Oryctolagus cuniculus: one gene and its partner. The protein of the gene in region 1 interacts with the protein of each later gene in a biochemical or structural test. Links are inferred from orthologs where the notes say so. Each region holds a gene or a part of one and is shown on either strand. Other genes may lie near its edges.

Evidence for each region.
Region 2: of the proteins of TRIM25 (region 1) and ZC3HAV1, one has a biochemical effect on the other in vitro, tested with the Homo sapiens proteins (2 studies listed by BioGRID). The link is inferred for Oryctolagus cuniculus from reciprocal best matches to the Homo sapiens genes TRIM25 and ZC3HAV1.

Annotation. Positions count from the first base shown.
Region 1 is NC_091448.1:32,514,181-32,521,871, reverse strand, and holds part of TRIM25 (E3 ubiquitin/ISG15 ligase TRIM25), read left to right. Parts: intron 1-2,465; coding exon 2,466-2,561; intron 2,562-4,656; coding exon 4,657-4,890; intron 4,891-7,436; coding exon 7,437-7,608; intron 7,609-7,691.
Region 2 is NC_091434.1:184,860,302-184,868,753, forward strand, and holds the start of ZC3HAV1 (zinc finger CCCH-type antiviral protein 1), read left to right. Parts: upstream 1-3,167; 5' UTR 3,168-3,516; coding exon 3,517-3,824; intron 3,825-4,215; exon of another isoform or gene 4,216-4,405; intron 4,406-8,452.

The DNA of each region.
Region 1 (7,691 bases):
TAATTTAGCTGGGGCGTAGGCATTGTGGCCCAGCAGGTGTAGGTCTGACACAGTTTGCAGTTTCTCCCCATGGACCAGTTTCCTATCCAAGTCTGTGGAGTCCAGAGCGGGGGACATCCTCAAGTAGCCCAAGCCTCCATCTAGTGACCTGGGAGGGTGGGCAGAGTCCCTGGAGATGACCCACGCTGTGCTGGTGTGACTGAGGCGGGCTTTGGCCCTGCTCCTGGGTCCCCCTGGGTGGTAGGAGGAGGGACTAGGTGAGTCACTCAGGGCCTCCTAGACCTGTGCTGGTTTTGGTTTCGGTAGTTTGGGGAAACCATACCTGCCCCCTGTGGACTCACAGCAGAGCGGGGGGGGGGGGGGGGGGGGGGAGGGTAAGGTATCACCCGCCCACTTTGCTTATGCAGTCCCAGCTCCCCGGCGGGGTCTGACTGCATTTTGTATCCAGGAGGACAAAGAACAAGGCCTGGCCTCACACTGCCAAAGGAGACCTGAGCCTGGAGGGTGGGATGGCAAGGCTGCCGGGCCCAGGGTAAAGGCCTGGCTCCCATCTGGCCACAGCCCTTCTTTGCTTCCCTGGGTCTGAGCTGGGCTCCTCTGGTCTTTTCCCCTGAGTTTAGAAGCTGGCTTTGAGGCATGTGATCTGGCTGGGTGTGGCCTGTGGCCCTCACGTTATCTCAGCCTCTGTTCCGAGCCAGGAGGAGGGCCGGTGTCACAGAGGTTGAGTCTGACACGTCATCGGTCCTAGATTTAAGATGAGGGTGGGTCCCAAATATCTCAGGTAGAGTGGGAGAGGGAGGCAGCAAGGAGGGAGGGAGGGCCAGGGAATGTTGATACAGCTTGCGAAGGGAAGGAAATGTGTTTTTCCTAGAAATTTCTGGCATGCTCAGATTGGGTTGTGTGTGTTCATTTTAATCCCAGGGTTTGAGCTGTGCCAGTTAATAGCAGTGTGGCCTCTGGCAAGTCGCTTAATTGCCCCGTGGCTCAGTGCCTGCCTCTGTGGAGGCTGGGTTGTTCCAACCGCATGGCGTTGTTCTGAGCTGTAAATACATGAACGTGTGGAAAGCGGTGCGGAAGTCGCAGCAGGTGGGAAACGCCGTGACTTCCCTCCCCACGTCTGTGCCGCAGACGTCTGAGCAGAGGTGTGACAGTCTGGGAGACTGGTGATGCATAACGTGCCTTTGTTTCCGGAGGCAGCTGGGGCCAGGCAGTTCTGAATGAGCTTAACTGAGTTTCGGGGGCTGCACTGTTGACGCCTGGACTTCAGCCTCTGTGGGCTGTGTCGGCCTTATTCCTAACATTGGTGGTCCCAGCCCGCAGGGGGGCCAGGTGAGCCTTGGAATGTTGTCCTCTGTCGCCCTGAAGCTGACAAAGGCTCGCCCAGCTCTGCTCCAGGATTGTGGTTCCACAATCTCTTCTCCTTTAGCAGTGCCCCCCCCCCCCCCACCTCCCTCTTCGGTTTTCTGTCTGCTTTTCTGGTTGTTGGCTGTGGGAGGATTGAGCTAAACTACCTCTGCCATCACCCTGACAGCAGCTGGTCCCGGGTGGCTCTGTCTCCATGCCGGCGTGGCCACCTTTTTATTCTCCTCTCCTTGATGTTGTCAGCTGTAAAATGGGTAGGCCTGAAGATGCTAGCAGTAATGAGTGGAATAAAAGTTTGTACAAGAAAGAGTTTAGACGTGAGACAGAGTAGTGGTGAGTAAGGTAGTAGCAAGGTAGGGCATTTGTCAGAGCGGATGGGCCCCTCTCCAGATGGAATCCGAGAATGTCCAGTTTACATGAAGACTGGGGTTTGTAAGGGAGTGGGGTCCAGTTCTTCCCATCTGTCTCCTTCCGCTCGTCCATCTTCTCCTGGAAAGAGTTTTCTGGGTGAAATAGGTACAGTTCCTCCCAGGGTTTTATTCCCCAGTGTCATCAGGCAGGGCGGCCCACTTGGCGCTGGCAGGAGGGCAGGCGGGGATCACGTGCAGAGTTCTCAGGGCTATGGACAGGACTTTGCAGTGTGGAGACCCACGCTGCTGGAGGCTGCCCCCTTCCCTCCTCTGGTGCTTTGTTGACTTTAGGCTCCACACACACACACACACACACACACACACGGGCTGATCTCTAACTTCCTACCTGGCGAAGTCCCAGGTATGGGCAGGTGTGTTGTTCCAGGTAATCCTCCTTGATAGCCCTATGGGGTGGGAGCAGTTGTTTCTCTTTTATGGCCAATGAAACTGAGGTGGTGGGAGCTGTACAGCTGCAAACTGGGACTTGAGCTGGGTCCGTCTGACCCCACATCTGGTTCTCTGAACTTCCTTACTGTGCAGCCCCCCTAAAGGATGATGGACTGCTTCAGAAAGCTCTACACAGGCGAGACACGGGGTGGCCGAGCCCCTGTGGGATGGACTCAGGGGATGGCCCCTGGTGTTGGGGGTGAGGCTGACGAGGAGCTGTCTCACCCTTGTTTGTTTTCTCTGCAGAACAAGCTGAGGTACAAACTCACCATCATGTACAGTCAGATCAATGGGGCGTCGAAAGCGCTAGAGGATGTGCAAGCCAGGCAGCAGGGTGTGCAGGTGAGTGGCCAGGCCCTTGTCCACCACCAGGCGGGATGGGGGCAGCCCTGACCTTGACAAGGCTGGTGTTGGGTGCACTCACAAGCATCAGAATTCAGCACCAGCCTTGCAGAGCAAGCAAAAGCACTGTGTGCTCAGGAGAGACCCTTTGCAAACCCAAGTTGAAAACCACCCACAGGCCCAACCGTGGGGGAACCTTCAGAACTTGAGCTGGGGGTGGCTGCTGTGGTACAGTGGTTAAACCACTGCTTGGGATACCCGCGTCCCATGTCAGAGTGCTGGTTCGAGTCCCGGCTCCCCTGCTTCTGATCCAGTTTCTGCTAGTGTGCACCCTGGGAGGCAGCAGGTATTGGCTGAAGTGCTTGGGTCCCTGCTGTCCTCATGGAAGACCCAGAGTTCTGGGCTCCTGGTGTCAGCCTGGCCCAGCCTTGGCTGTTGCAGGCACTTGGGGAGTAAACCAGTGGATGGAAGCTTGCTTGCTCTCTTTCTCTTTCCCTCTCTGTGTGTTATTATGCCTTTCAAATAAATAAGCATAAAAAAAAAGAACTAAAATGTAGGAATATAAAGAAATGATTATGATCTGAAATGGGAGAAAAACAGGAAGCCAATATCCACTAGAGTTGCATCTTCCCTAAAAAGAGTGTTGTTTCCTGGGGCGCTGTAACAAATTGCCACAACCTTGGCGACTGAAACAAATGAAACTCATTCTTTCCCGGTTTTGGAGGCTGGAAGTCCAAAATCACAACGTGGGCGGGATCAGTTGCAGCATGGGTGGGGTCACACTGCTCTGACAGCTGTGACCGAGAGGCCATTTTTGCCTCTCCCAGCTCCAGCCCCTCAGGCTGATGGCTTTGTGGCTGTGTGGCTCCAGTCTCCCCCTCCTTCCCCTCTGTGTTTCCAAACACCTGTCAAATAAAAACAAAACACCTGTCTTTAGATTTAGGGCCCACCAGCATAATACAGGGTGATCTCATGTTGAGATCCTCAATTTAATTACATCTGCAAATACCCTTTACTGGGAGGCAGGTGTCGGGGGATAGGGAGGGAAGGCAGCATTGGATCCATTGCAGGGAGTATAGGAGAAAAGATAGGAAGGGAGAATTTTTTTAAAAAAGATTTTTTATTTATTTGAGAGGTAGAGTTACAGACAGAGAGAGGGAGAGACAGAGAGGTCTGTCATCTGCTGGTTCACTCCCCAAATAGCTACAGTGGCCAGGGCTGGGCCAGGCTGGAGCCAGGAGCTGAGAAATTCATCACAGTCTCCCACAGGCCCAGGTGCCTAAGCACTCAGGCCATCTTCCGCTGCCTTCCCAGGTGCATTAGCAGGGAGCTGGGACTCGAACCGGCGCCCACATGGATGTCTGTGTCTCAGGCTGCAGGTTGACCTGCTGCACCACAACGCTGGCCTCTGCTAACACATCTTGATTTGGACTAGCCACGTCTCAAGGGCTGGGAATGGAGCACAGGCACTCTGGTGTGGGATGCGGGCATCTTGACTGGCACTTCAGCTGCGAGGCTCAGTACTCAGCCGCTCCATGCATTTCTTTACGTGCTATCTCATACACGTATGCATTCTGTAGCAATCGATTCTGCCCTTCTGTTTGTTTCTCAGCTTTACATAAACAGCTGCTTCTCCAAGTCTGTGTCTTCTTCAAGTTGTTTTTCTCTCTTGGAGCTTTATCCCTGCATGGCTCCAGTTTATTAATCCTCATAACCATTTGGCTTTCCGTCCTGTGAACAGCTCTGTCTCAAGTCTTCTGCTGACAGATTTCCGGGTTGTTCCCAGGTTCTCGCTGTTTCAAAGCGTGTCACTTATGAACATTCTTGTGTGTGTCGCTGAGGCAGGTGTCAGGGCATTTTCCCAGAGTGCTTTCCTAGGATCGCAGCCACCGAGTCATTGGGCACAAATGCCTCCGAATTTCCTAGACTGCCTGGTTGCTGCCCAGGGTGGCTGTGCTGGCTCCTACTGCTACAGGGCACAAGTCAGAGTTTCTGGTGCTCTGCCTCTCACCCACCTTGGGATGGCAGCTGTAGCAATTTTTTTTTTTTTTTTTTTGCCCATCTCACGGTTCTTCTCTTGCCTCGGCCCTCTTAGGAGGCTACAAACAGGAAGATAGAGCAGCTGCGACAAGAATACCTGGAAATCAAGGCTCTCATCGATGCCTCGGAGGCCAGCTCGACTCGAAAGATAAAGGAAGAGGAGAAGAGAGTGCACAGCAAGTTGGACACCATTCACCAGGTGCTCCTCAAGAAGAAGAGCGAGATCCAGGCCCTGAAGGAGAAGATCGAGGACGGCCTCAAGGAGGGGGACGAGTTTGAGTTTCTGGAGGTGGGTGGCAGGGCCCGGGACTGCCGGGTCTCTTAGCGATACGGTGGGGCCTGGTGCCGTCGGGCTGCAAGAGGTCAACAGAAGTATCTCTGAGTTTGCTGGGTTGCGACAGGACTTCAAGAACGTACCGCAGCCCCAGGGCTTAGAGCTGCTCAGCGGCTCCCTGGCCCTGGAGTATGGGCATGGCTCCGTCTGCGCAGGAGCTCACGACGCCAGCATCTGGGGGCTGGCTGGGCTGCGTTCCTTTTGGAGCGCACATGGCGTGGCCGTTGTTGGTAGAATTCATTTCCTTAGGGTTGAAGGAATGAGGTCGCCCCCTCCTTGCTGGCTGTCAGCCAAGGCCTCTCCCAGCTTGGTAGCTTCCTTCCTCAAAGCTAGCAGGAGAGCTGCTCCCTCGAGGAAGGCCTGGTCCTCCTTTTACCTGATTGTCTGGCTCACCCGAAAAAATCCCCCTCTGGATGAACTCCAGGTCAACTGATTCGGGGTCTTCTTGTTGTTTGTTTCTTTTTTTTTTTTTACTTTTTAATTTTTATTTTATTTATTTATTTTTACTTTTTTTATTTTTTTGACAGGCAGAGTGGACAGTGAGAGAGAGAGACAGAGAGAAAGGTCTTCTTTTTGCCGTTGGTTCACCCTCCAATGGCCACCGCGGCTGGCGCACTGCGGCCGGCGCACCGTGCTGATCTGATGGCAGGAGCCAGGAGCCAGGTACTTATCCTGGTCTCCCATGGGGTGCAGGGCCCAAGCACCTGGGCCATCCTCCACTGCACTCCCTGGCCACAGCAGAGAGCTGGCCTGGAAGAAGGGCAACTGGGACAGAATCCGGTGCCCCGACCGGGACTAGAACCCGGTGTGCCAGCGCCACAAGGTGGAGGATTAGCCTATTGAGCCACAGCGCCAGCCCTGTTTGTTTCTTTTTAAAGATTTATTTATTTGAAAGGCAGAGTGATAGAGAGAGAAGAAGACACACATACACACACACATACACAGAGAAAGAGAGAGAGAGAGAGAACTTCCATCTGTTGTTTCTCTCCCCAAATGGCCACAACAGCCAGGTGTAGGCCGGGTCAAAGGCAGGAGCCAGGAACTCCCTCCAGGCCTCCCGCATGGGTAGCAGGGGCGCACACACTCGGGCCAGCCTCTGTTGCCCAGGTAACCCCTCTGAAAGCTGGATGGAAGCAGAAGACCCAGGACTTGAACCAGCACTCCATTATGGGAGGCTGGCCTCACAATCAGTGATTAACCCACTTTGCCACAATGCTGGCCCCTGAGTGGGGGTCTCAATTACACCTGTAACATTCCTGCCTCTGCTTGTAACCCAATCATGGGAGTGATATCCTGCCGCATCCCCCACGCCTCCCCCTCAAAGACCAAGGATTATATGGGGTGTGCTCCCCAGAGGGAATGGGGATCTTGGGGGCTGTCTCAGAATCCTGCCTTCTTCACACCCCATCCTCTTCCTCTTTCCTGCCTTTCTTTTCACTGCCCCCAGACCCCTGCCCTTCATGGCTCCATCCCTCTTCATGTGGCCCACAAGGTTCTTGGCGACCAGATCTTGCCTCGTGTCTTGCCACCTGCTCTCCCAGCCCATGTCCTGTGCCATGACCATGGTGGGGAATCACCATTCCCAGATGGAGTGGGCACTGGGCGAAAGGCCACACTTGACCTCCTCGTCCCTGGACGCCGCGCCCTCCTTCCAAGGCCAGCTCCGGTTTCCCCGTCTTCTTGGGATCCGTTTTTCTTACCTTGATGGATATTGCGGAGCACGTCCCCCTGCCTCTCCTGGAGCACTGGTGGCATTGTAGCATGTCTGTTGCCATGGTAACCCATCCTGTTCCCTCGCTCCTTGCGTCTCTAATGTCCAGCACAGTGGGCCTGGTGGGGCATCTGGGTTCCCTGCCACCGCCCTTGAAAGGCGTAGGTCCTGGGAGAGTACAGGAGCGGTGGGAGCTTCTCCCTGTGCATGAAGCCCAGGCTGGCGGGCGTTCGATTTCATCCCAAGTGCTCACACCTGTAGTCGAGGACGCTGCCTCGACCTCTGAGACGGTTTCTGAGTTGACAGCCAGGGCTCTTGATGCTGCGTGGCTGTGTTTGGTCTAAAAGTTTGTGACCTTCCATCAGACGCTGCCTTCCCCCAGGACATGTCCTGTCCCAACTCTGCACCTGCTGGATGATGGCGCTGTCCATTCTCAGAGGTTGCAGGATAGACCTGGCCCTGGCCGCCACTGCCTCTTCTCCATACCCAGCAGGAGGAGTGGGAAGAGCTTTGTCCTGAGGCCCAGGCAGCCTCACTCCCAGTCGTGTCAGTGCCGGGAAATGGTGGATTTCCCAGGAGACCGCTTATCGTGCCTAGAGCTCAGCTTCCCCACCTGTAAGATGAGAAACCTCTGAGGTTCCTGGATCTTAAAGTGGCGCCTCAGCTCTGGGTGACTTCCGGCCTGTGCTGGAGTAGGCTGCCTGAAGTTAGCACCGTAGGCCCAGGGGAGCTCCTCCCGAGGCACTGGCCTCCCTGGAGCTGCCTGCACTAATCCCCTGGCTTCTTCCAGAAAGCCTCAAAACTGCAAGGAATCGTGACGAAGCCAGTGTACGTCCCCAAGGTGGAGCTGGATCATGAGCTGATACATTGCGTCTACCAGGGCACCTTGGACTTAAAAAATGAGCTGAAGCGGGCTACCAGGCAGCTCCAGGAGAGGAAGCCCAAGGAGGCCCCAGGCCCAGGTAACCCCTAGCAGCCCTGATGCTGTCCCCTGCTGAACTCTGAGCCCGGGGTGAGCTGCTCGGTGTTTTGGCAGGGGCGGGGG
Region 2 (8,452 bases), on another chromosome or scaffold:
AGGAGCCAGGTGCTTCCTCCTGGTCTCCCATGCGGATGCAGGGGCCCAAGCACTTGGGCCATCCTCCACTGCTATCCTGGGCCACAGCAGAGAGCTGGACTGAAAAAGGAGCAACTGGGACTAGAACCCGGTGTCCATATGGGATGCCGGTGCCACAGGCAGAGGATTAACCAAGTGAGCTGGCACAGGCCCCCCAGAGCAGGTCCTTTTAAATCTTTGCCGGAGGGCGGGCAGGGAAGCAGGAGCAGCAAATCCCATTAGGATGGGGGTGGAGCTTGAAAACAGTGGTTGGGCCCTGTGGACACCTAGCTTCCAGCAATGGCGGCTAGGAAGTCAGATACGAGCTTGCATGTGTGTGTGTGTGTGTGTGTGTGTGTGTGTGTGTGTGACAAAGGCCTGAAGAGAAGATGTCTTTGTTCTGCCTGATAACCTTCCAGGTGCAGCCCAGTATCTGCACTTCAAACGCCCTCCCTGCCCTTCCTCTGGGGCAGCCAGACCCCCCCCCCCTCTGATAACTCAGATAGAAGTTTTTCTATTTACATCCAAAAAGCCCTTTGTTCCAAGAGGAGCAGAGGTGGAGAAGCGAGACCCATCTCCTTAAAACCCCCAGCCTCAACCGGACTGCGCGCTCAGCCCTCTGCCTCTCTGCTGAGCTGCCCCTGGCCTGGCCAGGTGTACTCTCCACTCAACCATGTAACCCCACTCTTGCCCAGTCCGAGCGACTGGGCACTCTCAGGTCCTGTCTGGAGAGGTGCCCATCCGTTCTTGCAGATGTCCCTTCCCTAATAAACCTTGCTATTTGCTTTTCACTCTCTCTCTCACGCCTGAATTCTTGCAGGAAGACAAGAGCGCTGCCATTCTCTGGGGGCTAGAGCTTAGGATGTAAATCAGGGTGTAGATCGCGCCATAGATAAAACTGCCTTTTCCTAACACACACCCGGGAACTCCTCTGCACGTCTCATTGCAGGTCAGCATTCCCTTCCTGGAGAGTCCTGTGGCAGGTTCAGAAATTCCCCCCAAGCCCCCTGTCCCTCACATCAGTCCTCGGGGCTGCGGGCGGAGGGGAATTCTGTCCTCATTCCCAGCCACCCCGCCAGGCTGGCCCCTTTACCGTCTGTCTCCCCACACTTTGACATTCCTCATTTCTTCCAAGCACATCCTGCCTGGACACAAGCCTGGTCTCAAGCTTCGTGTGTTCGAGAGTAAGGGCCCCACGGAAGGCAGTCGGTGAGCACTCTGAACTGAACTGACCTGAGAGGAGAGAGTGCCTGGGGTCCTGTCAGGCCACAGCCAAGGCCAAGGAGGTGAAAGTCAACCAAAGCAGCGGCCACTGCGCGGAACAAGAGCCGGACCGTTCCACGTGGGCCCGTCTGGCTGATCTGCACACCACGCCCTCTGTCCCCAGAGCTGTCAGAGAGCTGCAGGCCGTGGGAGGGGCCGGCCTGAGCCCAGAGCAGCGCACTGGCAAGGGCAGTGCCTTCCGGGACCAGCTTCCCCTGACAGGGGGTTTGCATCGCTGGGCAGAGCCCTGGCCCCTCTGCGGCCCTCAGCTCTGGGCCTCCCCCATGCCCCCCCCCACCTCCACGGACAACCACGAATCTCTGGCATTTGGGCTTCACCCTGGACAGAGGCCTTTATCTAGGCCCTGCCTAAGGTTGTGGGTCTGTCAGGCTTCGCGGCTTCTGGGGGTCCTGTTGCAGGCATCGGGGAAGAGGGGTGACCTGTTCACCTACCTGAATTACCACACTGAAGAGAATCCCCGGACCATGTTGCAGAATTCTAATCTGGTAACCGAGTTCTACGCTTTTCCGCATCTGGTCAGCGGCCACTTCTTTTACTTGGGCGTGTTGGGAAGAAAAAACTTCCCTCTTCCAACGTGGGTCCAGCCCTGTGCCGGGGCCTGCATACTAGCCAACACCACCCACATCACCAACGTGTTTGTGTGTGTGTGTGTGTGTGTGTGTGTTTCCTAAAGGAACTGTTTATCTAAGGATTACAAATTTTGTAAGGGCAACTTTAGGAATATAGTCGATCCTCCCACTATACTTGCCCTCCCACCCACCTCCTCCCTCTCCCATTCCCAGGCCCATTCTCCATTAAGTAAAAAAACAACAAAAAACCTATTCCTGGACCGTCAAGACAAGGGCTGTTCAAGTCATTGCTTCTCCAAGTGTCTATTTCAGTCCTACAGGTATCCTTTTAGGCGCTCCATTGGTTATCACAGATCAGGGAGAACCTGTGGTATCTGTTAGTAAAATGGCGCTCTCTTATCTGTGGCGCGATCTATGCCGGACACCATCCAAAGCTATGGCCCCCACCACAGCTGCTGGAAGTCAGGTGACCACAAGTCCCTACCACCGGGGTCAGCTCCACCCCGACCCTAGGGGATTCGCTGCTCCTACTTCCCTGCCCGCCCCCTGGGGTCTTGAGCTTCTCTCTCTCTCTCTCTCCCTCTCCCTCTCTCTCTCTCTCTCTCTCTCTCTCTCTCTCTCTCCTCTCTCTCTCAGCTCTCACCCTCGCGCCCTCTCCCCCACCCGACTATAAACCTTTCCGGTGGCCGGTGTGTCTGTGGCGGCCTCACGATTTGTCCCTTTGGGACTGGCTTATTTAAGCACGATGTTTTCCAGATTCATGCATTTCGTTGCAAACGCGGGATTGGGTTTTTTTAATTTTTCTTTTGCCGCTGTGTAGTATTCCGTAGACTGCACCTGCGGGCGGGTTTCTGCGGTCTCAGCAGGGCAGTGCGGGAGCTTCCTCCTGGCGCTGTGATGCGAAGGCGGGGTCGCCCAGGTCCCGGGGCCGGGGAATACGCGGGGAACCGTCGGCCGCGTGGAGGGGCGGGAGTAGGCGGCGGGCTCAGGGCGCTGCGCTTCTCCTAAAAATCATGTGTGTGCCGCGCCGGGGGCCGAGCAGAACCCGTCCAGCCCGGGCCGCGTCCGGCAGGCCCCTCGGCGACTTCTCGCTGTCACGCTGTGCGCAGGAACCGGTCAAGAAGTGGCTGTCCAAAAACACCGTGAGGTGGCAAAAGAACATAATAGAGATAATAATAATAATAAACAACAGAGAAACGAAGCGGGGGCGTGGGAAGGCCGCTCCCTGGGGGGCTCGGAGGGGCGCGGCGGCCGTCGGGGCTCCGCGGAAGGCGGCTCCCTCGCCCCGGGGCCGCGCGCCCTGCTGGGGCGGAGGCGCTGGCCGGGGTCGGCTCCCCCCGGCCCACACGCGCGTCACGCGCGCCGGAGCCCCGACGTCGGTTTCACTTCCTCTTCGCGCGGGGCTGGGGGACTCTGGCCCCGCCGAGCCCGGAGCCGCGGCACGCAGCGCCGGCGGCCGCCCGCCCGGGGCGCGCGCGGACCCTCCGCCCGCCCGGCGGCCCCTGGAGGGACCCGCGTCGGGGAGATCCCGCCTCCAGCCGAGACGGAAACCGAAACCGCCGGCTCGCCTAGCGGCCCCGCCCGCCCTCAGGACCCTGGTCAGTTTCGATTCTCGGCGCAGCCTGCGAGCCGGCGAGCGCGCGCCATGGCGGACCCCGGGGTGTGCTGCTTCATCACCAAAATCCTGTGCGCCCACGGCGGCCGCCTGGCGCTGGACGCGCTGCTCCAGGAGATCGGGCTCCCCAAGGCGCAGCTGTGCCACGAGCTGGAGGCGGCCGGCCTCGAGCGCTTCGTGGTGCTGGAGACGGGCGGCAAGGACGGGGTGTCCTGCTCCGTGGTGGCCACCACTCCCGTCCGAATCTGCCGTCGCAAGCACTGCGAGAGGCCCTGCGGGAAGCTGCACCTGTGCAAGCTCAACGTGTTGGGCCGCTGCCACTACTCGCAGGCGGAGCGGTGAGTGCCTCCGGCGTCCCCAGGCCCCTTCCCCCGCGGCCGAGGCCAGGCTCCCCGTCCGTGCCCCCGCGCGCTGCGCCCTTCGGGGAAGCCGGCCGCGGGCGCGGGCCTGGGCTCTGCCGTCGCGGGTCTTCCTCCGCCGCCTTCGCCCCAGACGTGCGGCCGGCACCCGGCCCCGCGCGCCTCAGGCTGCGCGACCTGCGCCCCGGCCGTCCCCACTCGGCTCCCCGCGGCCGGAGTGGGGTCCTCCAGGGTCAGCGAAGGTGCGCGGGGTCGCCGGCGGGGCGCTCGGAGCGGCGGTCGGCGCGCTGCACGGCCCCAGCCCCGGCTGCGTCCGGCGTCCCTCCGGCCCTCTGCGGCCTCCCGCCTGCCTCCCTGCCCCGGCGCGCACCTGCGGAGTTCGGAACGGGTCCCTCCCGCCGGACTGCTGGTTTTTCCTGTTGGAGGACTTGTCGCCAACATGGTGCAGCCCGGGCCCCTCGCCTCCCGTGCGTGTTACGGAGGAGGAGGTTTTTACTGGATGAGGTAGATCATGTTTGTGAAAATGATGTGTTTAGAGCAAAAGCTGTTTCGGTTCGCCCTGCAACTTTATTTACTTTTACTTATTAGAGAGGTAGGGTTGCAGAGAGAGAGGTCTTCCGTTCACTGGTTCACTCCCCAGATGGCCGCAAAGCCGGAGCCAGGAGCTTCCCCCGGGTCTCCCACGCGGGTGCAGGGCCCCAAGGACTTGGGCCATCCTCCGCTGCTTCCCCATCGCCCCGTAACTTCAACGAAAAGCGCTTGAATGTGTTCCCTTACATAAATGCTTATTGTTTCAACACTTTGGGAGTCTGAGGTCAGAAAGTTGTGTGTCTAGACGGAGTCATCTAAATCGCTCAACTGAAGACACGGCTAAGGAGGGTAGAGGTCGGAGAGCGGGATAACAGGGAACAACATTCTAGTACATTCTAGCACCATATTGAAGAACAACGAGGTTGGAAGGCGTTCTTTTTAATTTTCTGTTCTCTGTTCTGTTATGAAAAATTCTTAGTTAACTGGGGTTGACTTAATTTTAAACTATCTCTTTTTAAAAGATTTATTTATTGGGAGTGAGTAAAGCTGCTGCCTTCGACCTTGGCAAATATGCCTGGGCAAGCAATGGGGACATGGCCCAACTGCTTGGGCCCCTGCACCTGCGTGGGATTCCCGGAAGAAGCTCCTGGCTCTTGGCCCCAGCCTGGCCCCGGTCCTGGCCATTGTACCCTCTTGGGGAGTGGGCCAGCGGATAGTAGATCTCTCTCTCTGTGTCTCTCTCCCCTCTCTGTAACTCTGCCTCTCAACTAAATAAAATAAACCTTAAAAAAGAGATAATTTTATTATTTGAAAGGCAGAGTTGGAGAGAGAGGCAGACACAGAGATCTTCATCCACGGATTCACTCTGATGGCCTCAACAGCTGAGGCTGAGCCAGGCGGAATCCAGGAGCCTGTACTCTGGGTCTCCCACGTGAGCAGCAGGGGCCCAAGTGCCCGGGCCGCCCCTTGGGGCTTTCCCAGGCACATAAGCTGGAAGCTAGATCAGAAGTGGAGCAGACGGGACTCAAACCAGTGCTCACATTTGATGGCGCCTTCAGGTGCGGCCTAACTCTGAGCCACAGCACTGGCCCCTAAGCACTATCTTCTTATTTTTAAAGATTTTTACTCAGTGTTTCCAGTGCAGTCAAAAGCAGAGGCAAGAGAATAGTGAACCTCGGCGTACCCACTGTTTGGATTCAGTAGTTCTCAAAGTGTGACAGTCTTGTGTCCTGTGTTCTGTCTTTCCCAGCGCCTACATGTAACTCCGGGTGCTGTTCTAAGGCAAATTCCAGCTATCGTTTATAAGCATCTCATTATCTCCAGAAGATAAGGTCTTTACTTCGTTTATACAACCACAGAATGATTGCATTTTTAAAATAGATTACAATTTTAATATTCGTGACTGTGTTATAAATACAACTTGCATTTTCAGGAAAAACCTATGCTACAAAACCTATAATTGTTTCAATTAGCTATATGCACTATGTTTGGAAATTTTCGTTTTATGATTTTTATTATGGTAGCTTTAATTTTTTGTCCTGGTTTGAAACATCAAAACTATTTTATTTTATTTTTTTTAAGATTTATTTTATTTATTTGAAAGGCAGATTTACAGAGAGAGTGAGAGACACAGAGAGATCTTCCATCTTCTCGTTTGCTCCCTGAATGGTCAAAATGGCCAGAGCTCGGCCAGGCTAGAGCCAGGAGCCAGGAGCTTCTTCCAGGTGCCACGTGGGTGCAGGGTCCAAACACTTGGGCCATCTTCCACTGCTTTCCCAGGTGCATTAGCAGGGAGCTGGATTGGAAGTGTAGCTGCTGGGACTTGAACCGGTGCCCATACGGAATGCCAGCCCTGCAGGTGGCGGGTTAACCCAGTATACCACAGTGCCGGCCCCAAAACTACATTAAACTCATCTATTGGGATGTTTACCTGGAGCTTTTCTGTATTTTAAAAGAGTGAATGTAATGCAGGAATTGTTTGATCTATGCAAGTTTGGATGGGCCCTCCAGAGGGCTTACTCAAGTCTGATTTCTTACACGTACTGGTCTATACACATTTTAAGTTTATTTTTATGTCACTTTTTAATTTTGGAGTCACAAAGTTTAAAGCATTCTTATTTATTTATTTGAGAGACGTGTCATCCGCTGGTTCCAGGCAGCTGGAATCAGGAGCTGGCGGGAGACACGGAACCGGGAACCCAATAAGGGATGAAGACATCCTGCCGGTGTCCCCTCGGCTGAGTGTCTTCCCCAAAATTACCAATTTTCATGCTTTAACGTATAGAGTATTCTAATAAGGACCTCCAGGAATTTTTTTTTTTTGCCTCGGAGGCTATCATGTGTTTTTTTCTCCCCAAATATGTTTTTAAAAATACTCTTCCTTAGCAGCTTTACAAACCTTTATCTTCCCACCTGTGACACTCGAGAAGTGAAGGTCCTTTTGTGTGTATCGTGTGTTGTTGGGGTCTCTTAGCCGATCGACTCCCATAACAAGGCTTTATTCGGACCAGTGAACTCTCCTTTGTTATATGCGGTTGAGTTGCATTTTTTTGCTAAGCTTAAAATAAAAATTTTCCTTGTAGAGTTATTATTATTGTGTTTATTTTAAAATGTATTTAGTTGCATGCATTTCATAACCACATTAGGAACACAGTAATTCTTCCCCCGTACCCACCTTCCCATCCTTCTTCCCTCTCCTATTACCTGTCCTGTTTTTCACTAAGATCTGTTTTCACTTAACGTTATATACAGCGGATTAAAGTTATTATTTATGGAATGAATTTCTATCTTGTAGTTCCTCTCTTTTGCAATGCTTCTTGTGATATAGTTTGCTCAACAAAAGGAGTTGCTTTGGTGTTGGAAAATTATTCGTTTCGGTGCATTGGTTTGTATGTTTCTGTTTGCTTTGCTGAGCGCGTGCCCACACATGGAGCGCAAATCCCCGTTCTGACACAAACAATAGCTGCCCTCTGTTGAACAAACGACCGCGAAGCAAGCACCGTGGCGAGCAGGGACCAGCGCCAGGCGGCTTCCTTGACGGCAGCTCTGTGGAGTGAGATCTGGCAGCCATGCAAGTGGTTCTTTTTGCACGCGTGATTTCTGTCGAACTGTTTTTTTTTTTTTTTTTTTTGACAGGCAGAGTGGACAGTGAGAGAGAGAGACAGAGAGAAAGGTCTTCCTTTGCCGTTGGTTCACCCTCCAATGGCCGCCGTGGCCGGCGCGCTGCGGCCGGCGCAGCGCGCTGATCCGATGGCAGGAGCCAGGAGCCAGGAGCCAGGAGCCAGGTGCTTTTCCTGGTCTCCCATGGGGTGCAGGGCCCAAGCACCTGGGCCATCCTCCACTGCACTCCCTGGCCACAGCAGAGGGCTGGCCTGGAAGAGGGGCAACCGGGACAGAATCCGGCGCCCTGACCGGGGCTAGAACCTGGTGTGCCGGCGCCGCTAGGCGGAGGATTAGCCTAGTGAGCCGCGGCGCCGGCCTCTGTCGAACTGTTAAAGCAGGCCTTCCGAGGGCCTTCGCCTTGCTCTGCGGTCTCTGCCACCGTGGGTGTCTCCTCTGGGCTCTCCCATTCTTCTGCCCTTCCCTGCTGTTTGGATGCAACTTTGGGAGGGGTGGGTGCATGGGAAGGAAGCCAGTTGATTATTTCATTAATTGAAAAAAAAAAGCCCTCAGAAGCATGAAAAAAAGCCCTCAGAAGCATGAATGATAGAATAAGCCTCAGAATGTATATATTATCAATAAACAAGCAGTATCAAATAAAAGGACATTCGGTGAGTTTATAACTCACCACATAGAATGAATAAAGGTTTATAGTTTTCATTTTTGCTTATCTTATTTTAAGATTTTATTTCTTTGAGAGGTAGTTACAGATACAGAGAGGGAGATTCAGAGAGAGGTCTTCCATTTGCTGGTTCACTCCCCACATGGCCACAGTGGCTGGGGCTGAGCTGATCTGAAGTCAGGAGCCAGGAGCTTCTTCTGGGTCTCCCATGCCGGTGCAGGGGCCCAAGGACTTGGGCCATCTTCTGCTGCTTTCCCAGACCATAGCAGAGAGCTGGAGTGGAAGAGGAGCGGCT